Lepisosteus oculatus: one gene and its partner. The protein of the gene in region 1 interacts with the protein of each later gene in a pairwise test. Links are inferred from orthologs where the notes say so. Each region holds a gene or a part of one and is shown on either strand. Other genes may lie near its edges.

Evidence for each region.
Region 2: the proteins of vasculin (region 1) and fibronectin type III domain-containing protein 11 interact in binary tests that used the Homo sapiens proteins (3 or more experiments, as listed by UniProt). The link is inferred for Lepisosteus oculatus from reciprocal best matches to the Homo sapiens genes GPBP1 and FNDC11.

What each region holds. Positions count from the first base shown.
Region 1 is NC_090698.1:47,156,574-47,164,177, reverse strand, and holds the start of vasculin, read right to left. Parts: upstream 3,013-7,604; 5' UTR 2,710-3,012; intron 2,499-2,709; exon of another isoform or gene 2,105-2,498; intron 2,027-2,104; 5' UTR 1,858-2,026; exon of another isoform or gene 1,544-1,857; 5' UTR 1,144-1,543; intron 1-1,143. UniProt on the Homo sapiens protein: Functions as a GC-rich promoter-specific transactivating transcription factor.
Region 2 is NC_090711.1:13,185,290-13,193,073, reverse strand, and holds the start of fibronectin type III domain-containing protein 11, read right to left. Parts: upstream 3,002-7,784; 5' UTR 2,900-3,001; intron 1-2,899.

The sequences.
Region 1 (7,604 bases):
AGTTCTTAAAATGTTCAACACTTGTTTTACACAACACTCAATTTCAATCAACAGACTGCACACTGTGCTGGACCGCTTCACAGGATTTCTTAGAGAACGCTAAAGGCCTAGAGACCATAAAATTGACAACTATCACAATTTATTTTACAGTAGCTATTCATATGATGCAATACTATTACCTTGCCAGTAAATGCTCAGATCCACAAAGAAAACCTGCTATTAAGCATGGTTATTCAAGAACATGTGCCCTACTCCTACAACCATTAGAATTCAAAACTGTGACGAACACCAAAAGCCTGATAGCAGGAAATTAAAAAGCTAAAAGTAAGCAAACCTTTCTTTATTGAAAATCCCTGGGATCTCAGGCTCCCCAATGTCATGCAATATTTAACCACCCTGAAGAAAAGTTTTAAAAAATCTCAATACTTCAATTTACAGCATGCATGATCCAGCACCTGTTTTTTTTTTTCCCAAACGAGAGCCAGACGCTAATGGGCACCAATACAAAACATGCGGTGACAACAGGGTTACGGTCTGAAAACACAGAAAGAAGTGAAAGTGCACTTAAGATCTGTCCGCCCACAGATTTCCTTTCACAGAGTACCATCTTTTGGCTGTACTCTCAAACACTGCAACCCTATGATGCCAGAAGAAAAACATCGCAGCTTTACAGTCGAAATCATGTGGCTTTCTGCGGACAAAAACTGAGATGACGTAAAAATGATGTCTGCAAAAAAAAAAAAGATTTTCCCAGGATACCGCTGTTATGTCCAATCACTAAAAAGTGACACTGAAATTTTCTGTTATTTCTTCTCTATCATTTTTCAGTTATTACTACCACCAATCAACGAACACAATAAAATACCGACCATGACAGAAGGCGCTATTACTTCCCGTATGAAAATAAAGTAGGTCTATACCACTCACATATATACTTTTTTTAATATAAATTACTGGCAATAAGGTAATAGCGAGGTTTGCTTAATATCTTTTCCATCCATAGACCGACAACATAAGTCAAATTAATATCCGCATGTGCTATAATTGAATACACAAGTATATTCCGACTTTTAAAGCTTGCGATCCATTAAGGGTAAAATCCTTAAAAAACAAAGCCGAAGCGTTCAGTAAGATGTTACTAACCAAATGTTGAGGACTGTACAAAAAGGCGTCTCTTGTCGTCAGACTTCCCAAAAGCTCCACGTTTCTTCCTTTTGTCTTTAGCAATGAAAAAAAAAATACCAACAATGTAATAATCCCGGTGTTCTGCCTACAGATTTCTCATGCAGATCGGGTCCTTTACAATATGTACACGTAATCCTCAATCAACTTGCCATCTTCTTTTGAATAATCCCAAATCCCAGAATGGAAGAGACGGTTTAAGGATGTCAACGTTAAGCGAATTAACGTTTACTGTGCCCGATACATCAGTGTGTGTATGACACTTTTCAGGAAAAAAAAGAAGGGGTTGAGGCTCAGGATCAGGCGTCCCCTGCAAAAGTTATCAAAACAGGAGACTATCTTGACACCATTCTCGCACTACCTACAAAAACAAAGAGAAAATAAAAAAATCACATCACAAAAAATGAGACGACGGCTGCTACTCTCAATTGCCCTCATCTATAAACGTGCAGCATAACCCGCCGGTAGAATAATCTCGAAGTGTTTTTAATCTGTCATTATTGAAAGCCGATTCCGGGCAATTCAAGCCAAAAAATCTGGAAAATCTTTCGTTCCAACTCAGTAAAGTGCAACTACTGACTCATATTCTTCAAACGCCAGTCTCAGAAAACCTCTTGGACCAAGTGTGTCTCGTCAAGTCCGAGTGTAAATGTCACGATATTTAAAGATACGGACTTCCTATTTCATCTCGGGATTCTCAGGGCCAGCAGTCCGTCCTTCGGCATATTTGGCACACACAAAAGCCGAGAAATGGGCCATTCGTCGTCGGGTTTGGACTCCAAATAAACAGCAGCTTCTTGACAGTGTATTATTAATGCAGACCAACGGGCAAACAGCTCCTCGTCTGCAAGAGAAAGAATACGAAAAAGGTTAGTGGATCTCCAACACGCGAAGACTACACAATAATAGTTACAAAACATACCACCAACTATCCAAAATGTTGCTCTGTTTTTATTTTCAGCGAAGCGTCCGGTTCGTTTGGTGTTCTTTTTTAATGACATACGAAAAGGTGACAGTAAAAAAAAAAGAAGCGATGAGCAAAGCGCCCGACAGTCCAGCCTGAGTCCCCAATCCTGGTCCTGGAGGGGTCGGTTCTTCCGCGGGTTTTCAAGCTCTCTTAAAGCAGCAGCACCCGAAGAAGAGAGAGGCGATATTAAAGGGGTGCAGTTAAGACGGTACCCATCTGATTTAGCTCGTTCAGAGCGGAGCTGGAGTGAAAACCCGCACCCGCACCCACCGGCCCTCCGGGAGCAGGTTTGGAAACCCCCCGGTCCAGACAAGGCAGCTCCGCGCCCGCGGGTCGCCGCAGCGGCGCGGGTGACGACCGTCACACTGTGCATCGCATGTTACATAATGGAAAAATAAAACACCAGCGTGGGACAACTGCGCACACAACTACCATGAGACAATAACACTTGGTTTCTGTTTGCAGTCGTCTTTAAACGGGCTTGCAAATCGATCATCACCGCCGCTATTTTTTACAGCTCGTCAAGAAAGGGCTTTTGAACTTCTTTACAGTCCGCTTACCTGTGGCAAACCTATTCCACTAGTTCTCTCCCGATGGCCCTGAAAATACTCACACTGGTACCACTTCTTAACACTGTCCAATTACAAGACACACTCATTAGCCAAAATTTAGCCTCTTCCTTTTTTACAATTTCCTATCCACTTTCTCAATCTGTGAGCAATACCAGGCGAGCAAGAAAGTTCCCCATTGTCAAGCGTTATCCTTGGCGTTCCCGTGCACCATTGCGGAGGACGGATTTGTTTAATACGATCTTTTTTCTTCTTTTTATTTTTAATTTTTGCCGCTTTTGCCCCTCTCCTTCCCAAAATGGCGTCGCTATCCGCAATGCTTCGCGAGAATCTCGCAGGCGCCCGTGAATTGCTCGACCCCTCGGCTGTCAGTGTCAGCAGCCGGAGCTGTCTTTCATCCCTGCCTGCACGGGCACAGTTAGTTGGTTTTCTCTTATTTTTCTTGCTCCAAAGTGAGACGGATGCTTTATGTATACAATTATAGTGGTATGTATCATTTATTCATTTACATACGTATACATGTACATACATGACTTTCATCTATTTATATACATTTAATACACTTATGCTTCGTATAGGTGCGATCCTGCTGATTTATACTGTAGTGAGCAGTATAACCAAACAACAAAGAAAAAGGCAACCTATTTTCACACAGCAGTGGTCAAATGTGTTGCTACAGAAATTACCTGTAGTTAGAGAACTAACCGTTTCTTTTTCCTAGGATCATGAATTGATTTACTTTCCTATTCCATGTCAGAATTGCAACCTCCTAACAGGAGAGGAAGGAATTGTTGAAAGCTGTTAGCGTTTAAAGTGGCATGTCGCTCGCACTCTGCCAGGGGAGAGACAGGAGAACCTGAGCTTTTTCAGTGCCGGAGGAGCATGAGGACGTCACGGCAGGCTGAACAATGACCTAACGGAGGAACGCCTTCTGCCCGTGTGTGTTACGTCATTGGAAAGGTAAGGGGGTTTCCTGCAGTGAGCTGTAATTCGCTAGAAGGGTGAACCTCTTGATGTGCGTTTGCACTGAAACTCCGCTAAATGTCACTTGGAATCCAGCCTCGGTTCCTATAAAATAAACAATTCACTATCATTCTGTTTGACGTTTCAGTTTAACTGTAAGGTGCTGAATAAATACAATGCTCTTCATTTTAATACGTTAGAAACACAAGTCTCAAGAAAACTATTAAAAGAACATTGTATTTTATCATGTTTCCCAGACACAGTTCTTGAAATGTGGCGCACTTATAATAATAATAACAACAACCATAAATCATCATTTAAAGAATATGCATATTCTAGACCACCGAGAAAAGGAAATTGAATATACTGCGTATATACCCCTTGTTTTGTAACGCAAGTTTGTTTTTTTTTAATCTGTGCTAGTCCGTCGCCTCACACTCTGCTATGCTTCTCCAAAACTTATGAGTTGCTTGATCTTTGCTCCGAGATGTCCATAGCAAGGTTATCTTTGTGTTGTCATTATTATCCTTGGTAAAAATAATATTACTACTTGGTAATTTACTACATTAATCTCACATTTCATTAAGAAAGCTCTCCATTTTCCTGCGAAATATGATGGTTATGATTCCCCCCACCAACAGCTAGTGTTTTTGACGTTGAGTGCTTTTCACAATGTAATCTGTTTTTCCTAGCACTAAGACTCAAACAACAATGTTGATTGATTGGATTTTTGAATTAGTGTTCCTTAATTTTTGCACTGATATCATCTTAGAAAATGCTTTCTGTTCTTTGCGTTGTTGTCTGGGCCAACATGGAAGACAGTATTCCTCACATACAGTGAAAAGCATATTTTTGGGATACTGAAGAAATTGGTAATTGAACACATTAAATGATATGGGTTTAATGTGGCTAAAAAATAATACCCAATAACAACAGCTGAAATTCTGTATTTCTTACATCAAATCAACTCTATATTATCTTATATCAAATCTTTTGGTCTAAAATACAAATTTCATTAGTACACAGCAAAAAAAAGAGATACATTTCACTTCACTGTTCCAATTCTTACACTTTTCATGAAGAAACAATATGTAAATGAAGGGACAATATTTTGCGGAATATCTCCATCTACCCAGACGGTCAAAAGTGAATTTACTTACTTTCATTAATTTAGTTTTTTGTCTAGTTTTAAATTAAATCGACTGTAGAAGGTATCAGGTCTTCATGCATTTTTTCTTGCATGTGAACAAAATCATTTAATGATCGATGAAGTGTTTTTTTTCTTTTGTTGTTAAATTTCAATTCCTGGAGAGATCTAAATATTAAGATAATATAAAATACTGAACATTATTTGGAAATTCAGACTAATCCACTGAAAAATGTACATCAAATCAAACCTATTAATATTAACTTACACAGCTGATGCCAAATTAATTTATACCCCTAATAGAATCTTGGTGAAAGCTAGTATTAGCAGAAAATAATGAAAGTGCCTATTCAATATTTATTGCATGAATAAATTAAAACATAAACTGCCTGTAACTGCAGTTTTGAATATTACACAAGGATATCTATGCAAAATAACTTTATAGCATTCTAAATACACAATGTTAAAACTTATTTACATTCTGCAAATTTGTCATACAATTCTGAAATGTAAGCCTCTGGTGTTCTCAGCCATTGCCAGTTTCAAATAGTCTCAGAAAGTTCAGATAAGTTTCTAGCAGCTGAGTAAGTGGAAGTTGTATATGGAAAAATGATCAGAAATCCCTATTGACAAGTGCCTGAACCTATAAGAAGGTTTATCAAACCAAGAGGAGGTTCAAAGAAATACTGGTTGCTGATTGGGATTATTTTAAATTCATTTTGATTTCAGCATTCGGAAACTTAGCAAAATTATTTAGGACAATTGTGATTTTTTATGCAATACCAGTCTTTCATATATGAATTCATATTTCATTGGTTTGTGCAGCAGATACTGAATGCCTCTGTTTTTCTAAAACTAGCTTTCAATTGCATGGCATTCAACAGATGAATAAAAATAGAGCCTGGTGTACTTTTGAATTCTCTATTATAATAATAATGATGGAAATACAATGTCAGCAGTCATCCAGTGTTCATATTAATAATATTTTAACATACAGCTTATAGTAAAAATAATTATCCATTCATGGAATATAAATTCAGTGGAAGATTATTTAATGACTTCTGACCGCCTTGTTTATTGTAAAGACTAAATTTACCTCATGGCTGGATTAACAAAATTAGAGGGAAATAACTGAAAACCCCCCAGATCTTCTTATTCCTTAGTTTATATGTGGCAGTAAAACCTTTGTATCTTTTACATTGTTTTATATTAATTTATATTTCCAAGGAAACTGTATTATTTTCTTCATGAGCTGCTAGCATAATTCTCATGGGGTTTTTTTTCTTCAACTGAATTGTTACCTCCTTTTTAAATTCAGAAAATGACAGCCAGGTTCTGTCTAGTTACTGCCAGGAGAATGGCCAGTCAGAATGCCTTTTTTGCTTCCCCATCCCAAACCATCTCACTTATTGCTATGCCAGCTTTCAAACTGGGATTCTTTCTCTTGAGTGTCAGTTTTAGTTTATTTTGTACGCTGTAACATCTTTCCTGCAGTTTAATATCTGACTCATTCTTATCATGAAGGATCATCAAGAATTAATCATACTTATACTGTATAGCGCTTTTCATCCCAAAAGAATCCCAAAGCCCTTTAAATGTATCAGAAGGGGCACTCTTCACCCTCCCTAAAGTGCAGTATCCACTTGAGTGATGTGCAATAGGCATTATGCACCAGCACCTTACAGCAGAGCAGATCAAGTAGAGGTGTAAAAACTGCTTCAGCAGTAGAATTTAGGGCAATTGTTAGGTAGGATAGGCTGTACAAGCCCAGAGCGAAATTTAGCCAGGATACTGACACCCTTATTCTTATGATAGGCGTCCTGGGCAAACAGTAGCAATCATAGTAAGAAGGGCAGAAATTCATAGATAGGTATTCACTTCCGGTTCTGAATGAGAGGGAACGCTGGTGCGTTTGGCTGTCAGTCCTCTTGCCTCTTTTCATTTTTTAATCTTCTTTTTTCTTCTTTCTCTGTCACCCTTGTCTTTATTTGTTTTAACCCGCTCTATATTGTTCCCAAGCGCTTTGAGAAGCCACCTTTTAAAGGTGATATATAAAATAAAGTTTATTACTATTAGTAGTAGTATAACGCAGTATGGGGCCAAGATTCATGTACTGGTATTTTACAGTATGGCTCTCTAGTTTTTTCATGTTTGTTTGGGTTTTTTTTTCCCAAACATAATTTGCACCCCAATGTTCAAGGGTACATCTCTGATCAGAAAGAATGTAGTCCTTGAGAAGGAAAGCTAATTAAATACAGGCTTGGAGAATTAACTGGATGTAAAACACAAAAAGCGGGGCTTATTTCCACAGCATGAAAAAGTTTTAAAATTCATCCTGTTATTCATGCATGAAGGACATACATTATATAAAAGTATGCAGTGCTAACATTTATACAGAGTTGCTGTTATATTTATATAGTCTTTCACCACAGACTGTTCTGCAGACTACAAGCAATGTTATACTCCTTTCATGACAAAGTCACTTTCCTCTTTTGTAATTTTCCAGAACATAACACAATTTTATTTTGGAATGAATTAAACTGAAATATAACTTTTGAATAAATAAATCTTCAGTGACACTTTATAATCAGTTTGGCATTCATCCTAATTTATGGGTATGAATATGAATGTCCCTTGTTCTTTTACGATTTTTCAAGAAATCAAAGTGTCTTCTCATTCCATCTCTTATACTGTACTTTAAAAGTCAGAGCACCCATGGTCAGCTTTGAAAAAGGATGAAGGTCTAATTAATATTCATACCCTGAAATTCTTAGGG
Region 2 (7,784 bases), on another chromosome or scaffold:
AGTAAATGGATGTTGAGCTGCCGCCAGCCAGTGCCTCCTCTCCTCAAGGGTGAGCTTAATGGCGAGAAGCTCCCTGTCCCCAAGATAACCTCTTAACTTAATCTCTGCTGGTGAAGGTCTCCTTGAGAAAAAGGCACTGGGCTGGAGGGTACCTCAGTTTAAATGATGGGTTATGTGAAGGTGTGAAAAACAATGGTTTGCCTTCACACCTTTGATTCTCTGAAAAAGAATGCATCGTCTGCAACGAGGAAGGGCCTTTAACTAAACCAGGTATGAGCTCCTATACCAAATCAAGGTGGGACTGTAAGAAGTAGAGGATTCTAGAGATGTACAGTAACATACAATCTGGTTTTTGTCCTAAGCCATGCACAACGCCGATAAGAAGGTCCGCTTGCATGCATACTGGTGTTGGGTAGAGGGCACATGAGCACTGTAAGGGTTTCACAGCCCTGGACCTGAAACTGTGATGTTCAGAGGCCAGACCCCAGCTGATGGTGGCAGAGCCTGTGTCCAGGGTTAGAAGACCTGGCTGTGGGGAACCTGCCTGAGCTATTGAGTGAGCATCAGTGTAAGCAAGGGGAACCATATTCGTCTGATGCACAGTGGGAGAGACACATCTGGGGGTGAGACAGAGTAAGGTCTTGGCCCACGTGTATGCTGGCTCATCACAGCCCAGGAGAGTCTCCCAATCCATGATAGCCAACCACAGATCACTGGGACTTGACTCCTCAGAGGCAAGGAGAATCATTTGCCCTTCCCTAATCAGTTTCCATTATCTGCTGAAGGATGTTAATGCCATTCTGCAACCCCAACACCAGTCCTTCTGGGCAGTAATTCTGCTGTTGTGTTGGCTGTTCTGGGAAGGCAAATGGAACATTTTAGGTGATGTCCTGAGTGCACACTCAAGTGTTTTGGCCATGCTACGCTGCTGGTCAGAAATGCCCCCATACCTTGCAGCTCTTTGACGATGGGTTCGATTTCAGCCTGGGGCACATTCTGAATGGACTTTGCATGTTCTCTCCCTGCTCATGTGAGCTTCCCACAGATTCTCCAGTTTCCTCCCACAGACATGCTGCCTAGGATAACTGGTGTCTCTTAATTGTGTGTGAGAATGGTGTCTCCTAGAAACTGTGCATGACACTTCACACAGTATTGTATATTATGGTATACATACACCTCTCATCTATGAAAGACCCCCTTCCTAGAAACACTATCCTCTGTTTCACTTGGCACCTCAGGGCCACCGTACAGGAAGACCTAACGGTAGGGACAACTAAGAGGCAGCAAAATGGGAATCATATAGAGAATGAAAATAGCTGTTTTTAGTATGGCTCACAACAGCATGCCACAGGCATTGCAAAATGTTTTTGTGGTTAGTGGAGAAATCAGAACATCTGTGACAGTACCGCACAGAATAGAACTACCTCTAAAGCAATACATGCATGGAGAGATACTGTACAGAAAAGACCAACATTAAAACATGATTCAGTCTCCACCTGCTCTTATCATCATTAAAACACTAAATTGAATAAACCCACACACGCAGTGGTGTAAGACTTCATTAGCAGTGACTACAGAGGGCTAATATTACATCTGCATTCTGTTTTGTACTGGGATTTCTCACAGGATAAGAAAAAAAATTATGCTGCACAAAGTGAGACATTGGCAGGGGTGTCGTGCACTGGTTCTGATTCAGCAGTTGTGAACAGACCACTTTATATTACCGGCCGTTATAAAAATAGACAAGGTGTGAAACAGACCCATTTAAGTCGTACATCACTGGCTCTGGGCTGTGAACAGCTCAGCTCCGGTGAAAATAAAATAGACCAGTACTACATACCCTCCCTTAAGGGGATTAGTTACTAGGATATAGCTATAAAAGACTAGGGCGTGTTCATCTGTACCTACTGCTTTTCCCCTCAGTAACGTTGCAGCTTGCCGGTGGATCTCCGAGCTACTTTGAGGAACACTAGTCCCTATTTACAAAACTTTTTTTCCCCCATTCTGTTTGGTTGGCCTCGCAGGGCATACAAAATAAACGAGAGCTACGCAAAAACAGCAGCCATAAAAATTAACCGCATTGAATAAATATATTTTGACTTCAGCTCGTATTTTATTGACGTCTGCAAAAGTGTCAGTACTACAGCACTTCTGTGTTACTGCGTGTAGTTTATCTTTTGTGGTTTTAAGTAAAAAACAACAGGTATTAGCTGTGTATTTTCACATTTGCACAGGATGCGTGTAAAAGGTAAGTTGTTTACCACTAATGAATCTTCGCGCACCGCGAGCCAGAGGAAGGGCGTTCACTTCCGTTTCTGGAGAAATTCGGCTGAAGCTAACCGCCACGGTACAGCAGTATATTGCAACATTCTCCCACGACTCGACATGCAGCTTCTTGGTTCTGATCAGGACAAGCTGAGTGAGGATGATTGCACGGTTTACACTCTTACGAACACGCACAACCGCGAACACGTTCCGGGTTTACAGACTGTATGAAGAGCGCACACATATCGCACCTTGGGTGCGAATATGCATTAGCACCTGTTCACATTCGCTGAAGGGGCAGAACCGTTTTGAGACTTAAATAATTCCACCTTTTACACATTAAATAAGTCAGACCCGTGTTTAACAAGCTGGATATGAGCTCTCTGTAAACACTATTCTTGAGCGAACGTCGTTAAATCCCAATAAACATCTGGAGTGAACCTGGGACAGCTGACCACTATCGGATGCCTACTGTAAATATCCCATTTTCTAGTCGCCCAAACAGAGAACATATCTTTTTGGGGATATAATATAACACGGTCTAATACAGTTGTATATGTATGAGGACATAACTCGTCTGTCACTTTCATGCGAAGGCAAACTTTTGAATTGTGTTTGCATCTGTTTCTCCTACCTTCGTTGTGAGCATCACCTGTACTTAGAAATTATTATAATCCATGGGCTACCAAATTTTCCTCACTGTTTACACATTAAAGGGATTTTTTTAAGTGTTTTGATTAGGCCTGTATCACTATAGTTACCATTACCGAGCACGACAGCATTGTGAGGTCATTCTGCCACTACAGAAAACCATCAAACACGATGATGTGCGGGGCGCCCAAACGCTACATTTCTATTTACTGTAGTAGCAACAATAATTATAACAACGATGATAATGATGATGATCAAAGTGTCGCCAAATGTATTTAATTACATGAAATGCGTTATCATCTAGTAAATAAATACAAACAATAGGTGTCCCCCCCCCCCCTTTCAGTAATGTTGGAAATAGAACCAACAATAAAATCAGACATTAAACTACAGCAATTGGCCCGCAGAGACCTCAGCTGCAAGACTGAATGAGTGTTGTCGCCACCTCGTGGCAGGAACTGGAACAGGTGAGAACCTACTTTTTCGAAGGTAAGAGTAAGGTAGAATAAATATAATAATAATTCCTTACACTCATATAGCGCTTTTCTGGACACTCCACTCAAAGTGCTTTACAGGTAATGGGGTCTCCCCTCCACCATCAACAGTGTGCAGCCCCCACCTGGATGATGTGACAGCAGTACTCTCACCACACACCAGCTCTCAGTGGGGAGGAGAACAGAGTAATGAAGCCATTTCAGAGAGGGGGATTATTAGGAAGCCATGGTTGTTAAAAGCCAATGAGAAATGTTGTCCAGCACACCTGGGTTACACCCCTACTCTTTTCGAGAAACGTGCTGGGATTTTTAATGACCACAGAGAGTCAGAACCTCGGTTTTACATCTCATCTGAAGACAACACCTTTTTACAGTGCAGCATCCCCATCACTATAGTGGGGCATCAGGACCCACATGGACTGCATGGTGAGCACCCCCTACTGGCCCCACTAACACCTCTTCCAGCAGCAGCCTTAGCTTTCCCAGGAGGCCTCTCATCCAGGTACTGACCAGGCTCACACTGCTGAGCTTCAGTGGGGCTGCCAATTAAGAGTTACAGGAGGGTATACAGGTTACAGGTTGCTGAATGAAAATGAACGAATGAGAACAAAACCTGCTTCAACCCAGAGTTATCTTGTGTTTTCTGCTCTCCTTACTGTCCCCCAAGCCCGTCTACATTGTATGGGTGACAGGGCCTTCTCCTGTTATGCCCCCAAGCTCTGGAACTCTCTCCCCAAGGATATCAGAGAGTCACCTTCTCTAACCTCCTTCAAATCCAGACTCAAAACCCTCTTCTTCAGAAAAGCCTTTACTGAACTGGTTCCATTCTTCACCCCTCTGCTCTTCTTAGTACCACCATCCACGGTCTCCTCTATTGTAATTGTTGTATTGTTGTAATTGTGTTTTATCTTGTGTATTCTTTTTATTTATTGTTGTTGTCATCCTGTAAAGCGCTTTGAGAAGCCACCTTCAAAGGCGTTATATAAAAAAAGTGTATTATTATTATTATCATTATTATTATTATTATTATTCTTGAAGGAAACAGTAGCAGAAATCGATCTGTTTGCCTGTAGTTTGTTTCTCACAGTCTTTGCGTTCACACGTGCAGTAATCAGTGACAACCTCAACTTGCTTGTTTCTGATTAAACTTACTGCTATTTTTGATTAAACAGCTGTTAGTAGGCGATCAGGGTGGTACAGTATGGTGGTACAGGGGTGTTAGCATTGCTGTCATACGCTTTATCACTTAATCTTAAAGAGACTTGAAAACAGCTGGATGAGATACTTGGATCAATTAGTTACTAACTTACAAACAGGCTAAACAGGCCCACCCACCAGTGGGGTTAATTGTCACCTTTCTGATGTCGTGACACACGCGCTGACGCTCTGTGCTGGTTTTCTGGAGTATTGCAGAGGCCATGGGAAACAACTCGCCCGACATTGAAGGAGGCACTCTCAGGGCAAACAGCTCTGCAAACAGCTCTCAGGAAGTCACTGATCTAGTCCGCCCTACAAGATGGGAGAAAAACTAAGGTCGCTGCTGGCAGAGGTGTTAGTGGGGCCAGCAGGGGGCGCTAACCCCTTCGGTCAGTGTGGGTCCTAATGCCCCAGTATAGTGATAGAGGGACACTATACTCTAAAAAGGTGCTGTCCTTCGGATGAGACGAAAAACCGAGGTCCTGTCCGTCTGTGGTCATTAACAATCCCAGGGCATTTCTTGAAAAGAGTAGGGGTGTAACCCCAGTGTCCTGGCCAAATTTCCCATTAGTCCTTACCAATCATGGCCTCCTAATAATCCCCATCTCTGAACTGGCTTCATCACTCTGCTCTCCTCCCCACTGAGAGCTGGTGTGTGGAGAGTACTGGAGCACTGTGGCTGCCGTCACCTCATCCAGGTGGGGCTGCACACTGGTGGTGGTGGAGGAGGGGATCTCCATTACCTGTAAAGTGCTTTGAGTGGAGAGTCCAGAAAAGTGCAATATAAGTGTAAGGAATTATTATTAATTATTAATCCTCTCGCCTTGTTCCTCAGCCCCAATCTTCAAGCATCTAAAATGTACAGGTTCAGAAATGTCTCGGTCATTGCTGTAAAATCATATAAGATGTAGAAAAAGACCCATTCTGGTCTGCATGACTCCAGCAGATACTAACCTTCACTGTAGCTTTTAAATGAGATGGTAAGTTCTGTAAACAGAACTTTAAAACTTGTTTTCCATTCATAAACAACCGAGTGTTGTCAAAATATGTAAAGTTAAAAAAAGTTTAACTTTTTTAGACCCCAACAATGTCAGGGGTCTAATCAAGCAGGCTACTTGCTGAATGTAAGGCCCATTTTAATACTAGAGAGCTCATCTGGAATCAAATAGATTTGGGATAGCTCTGCTGGAAAAAAACAGAAATAATGCCCCGCTATAGAGATGGGGACACTATACTGTAAAAAGGTGCCGTCCTTCGGATGAGATGTAAAACCGAGGTCCTGACTCTCTGTGGTGATTGAAAATCCCAGGGAACTTCTTGAAAAGGGTAAGGGTGTAACCCTGGTGTCCTGGCTATTTTCACCCTGACGTTTATCATTCATGGCCTCCTAATAATCCCCATCTCTGAATTGGCTTCATTACTCTGCTCTCCTCCCCACTAATAGCTGATGTGTGGTGAGCGTTCTGGCACACTCTGGCTGCTGTCGCATCATCCAGGTGGGGCTGCACACTGGTGGTGGTGGAGAGGATCCACATTACCTGTAAAGTGTCCTGAGTGGAGGGTCAGGAAAAGTATGTGTCAGCAATTACTATTATTATTAAAATACCAGCACTGAGACAGAGGCACATTTCCAGACACCAAAAGCCAAGATGATGAAGCAGACACTCTAGCAAAACAGAACTGACTGTAGCTGCTTGAACTGTTTTCAATTTAAAAAAAACAGCAGCAGCAAAGCACTGAAACCACAGTGAGGCAACACAGAATTGGTCCGATAGGGAACGAAAGAGCCCATTCAACTAATGCTTAACCGGCGTGGGCTGCTCTGAATGATAAAAGAAAAAGGGTTTATGAAGGCAGAGAAATAGAAATAGAGTTCTGAAAATATGTCAGGCGTTAATAGGGTTAAGTAACGAAGAGCAGGAAAGTCAGTGTGCAAGGAGTACTGAGTTGATGTTGAGAATTATGTATTTAGCCATGCTTTATACAGTAACAGATGGACCACTGGAACGCCCACAGAGGCTGAGTTATGTTGGCAGAGATATTGCCTTCTTTTGAGATCTCAGATGATAGGCCAGGGCTGAGAGGGACAGACCTCCAGAGAGAGCTGCTGCTTTAAGTGAGGTGGTGAGCCAGTAGGTGGCGCTCTTCTGCCTCCAACAGAAATTCAATGCCAATGCCTTTGTATGATGATCGAATTCATTAAGGTGCAAAAGGTCTCGTCTTTCGGAGGTGAGATCTCTGGGGATCAGATCCTTCGGAATGAGAAGCGCTGTAAAAATGCACATTCGATTTTCCCACTGCTGTTTCAAAGCACCTGCAGTGCTTTAATTCTGCCACTAGACGGAGCTCCTGTAACGCAAGATCTATCAAACTGAGACTCGAGAGCTACCACTTTTGTTTGTTCATAACACCTATTATACATTATGAACAAACATTTATATTAGAATTTCTCTTTTAAATTATTACAAATAAAACGCATTAACGCTTGTTCATATGAAGGATGTTCGGACTACATGTGGTTGCTCGCTTAATTTAGCTGGAAAAGCTGTACCGGGGTTTGTAATCAAACAAGTTCATTGCGCACACCAGTTGCTATTACTAGTTTTCGAGGAGCCCGAATCTGCCCAGCCTTAAAAGCCCCCAGCGAACGTCAAATATTTTATTTGGGTTCGCTTGGGTTCGTTGTCTTAAACTATAAATTTAAAATGGAAGCAGCTGTTTAAAATAAATAATTTAATTAGACTGGTGTTTAATTGCTTTTTAATTGTAACTTAAAGAAAATGTACGTATTGTCCGAATGCACACCAGCAGGAGGCGATGCTGTATGAATGCGTTCGTTTGCACAGGACCCGCCGAAGAAAACCGACAATCGTGCTGCATCCGAAGCTTGAGACCAAGAAGGAAATCTGCGCCTGAGTTTGGCATCGACCCTGCAACTCCAGTAAGACTTCATACTGCGCCATAAATACTGACGAGGCTTTCTTAACACATTAAGAGTGCCACAGATTCAAGCATATGGGCCTTCAATCACCTTGCTTCCCTGAGTCATCTCGACTGCAGGTCGAACTGTGAAAGTGATACCCACGCAGGCACGCTGGAATCGTAATTCGTTGTAGAATTGAGCGAGGTGGTGTGGATTTTACTTGTCGGGGTGCTGAGAGCTGTAAACTATTCAGA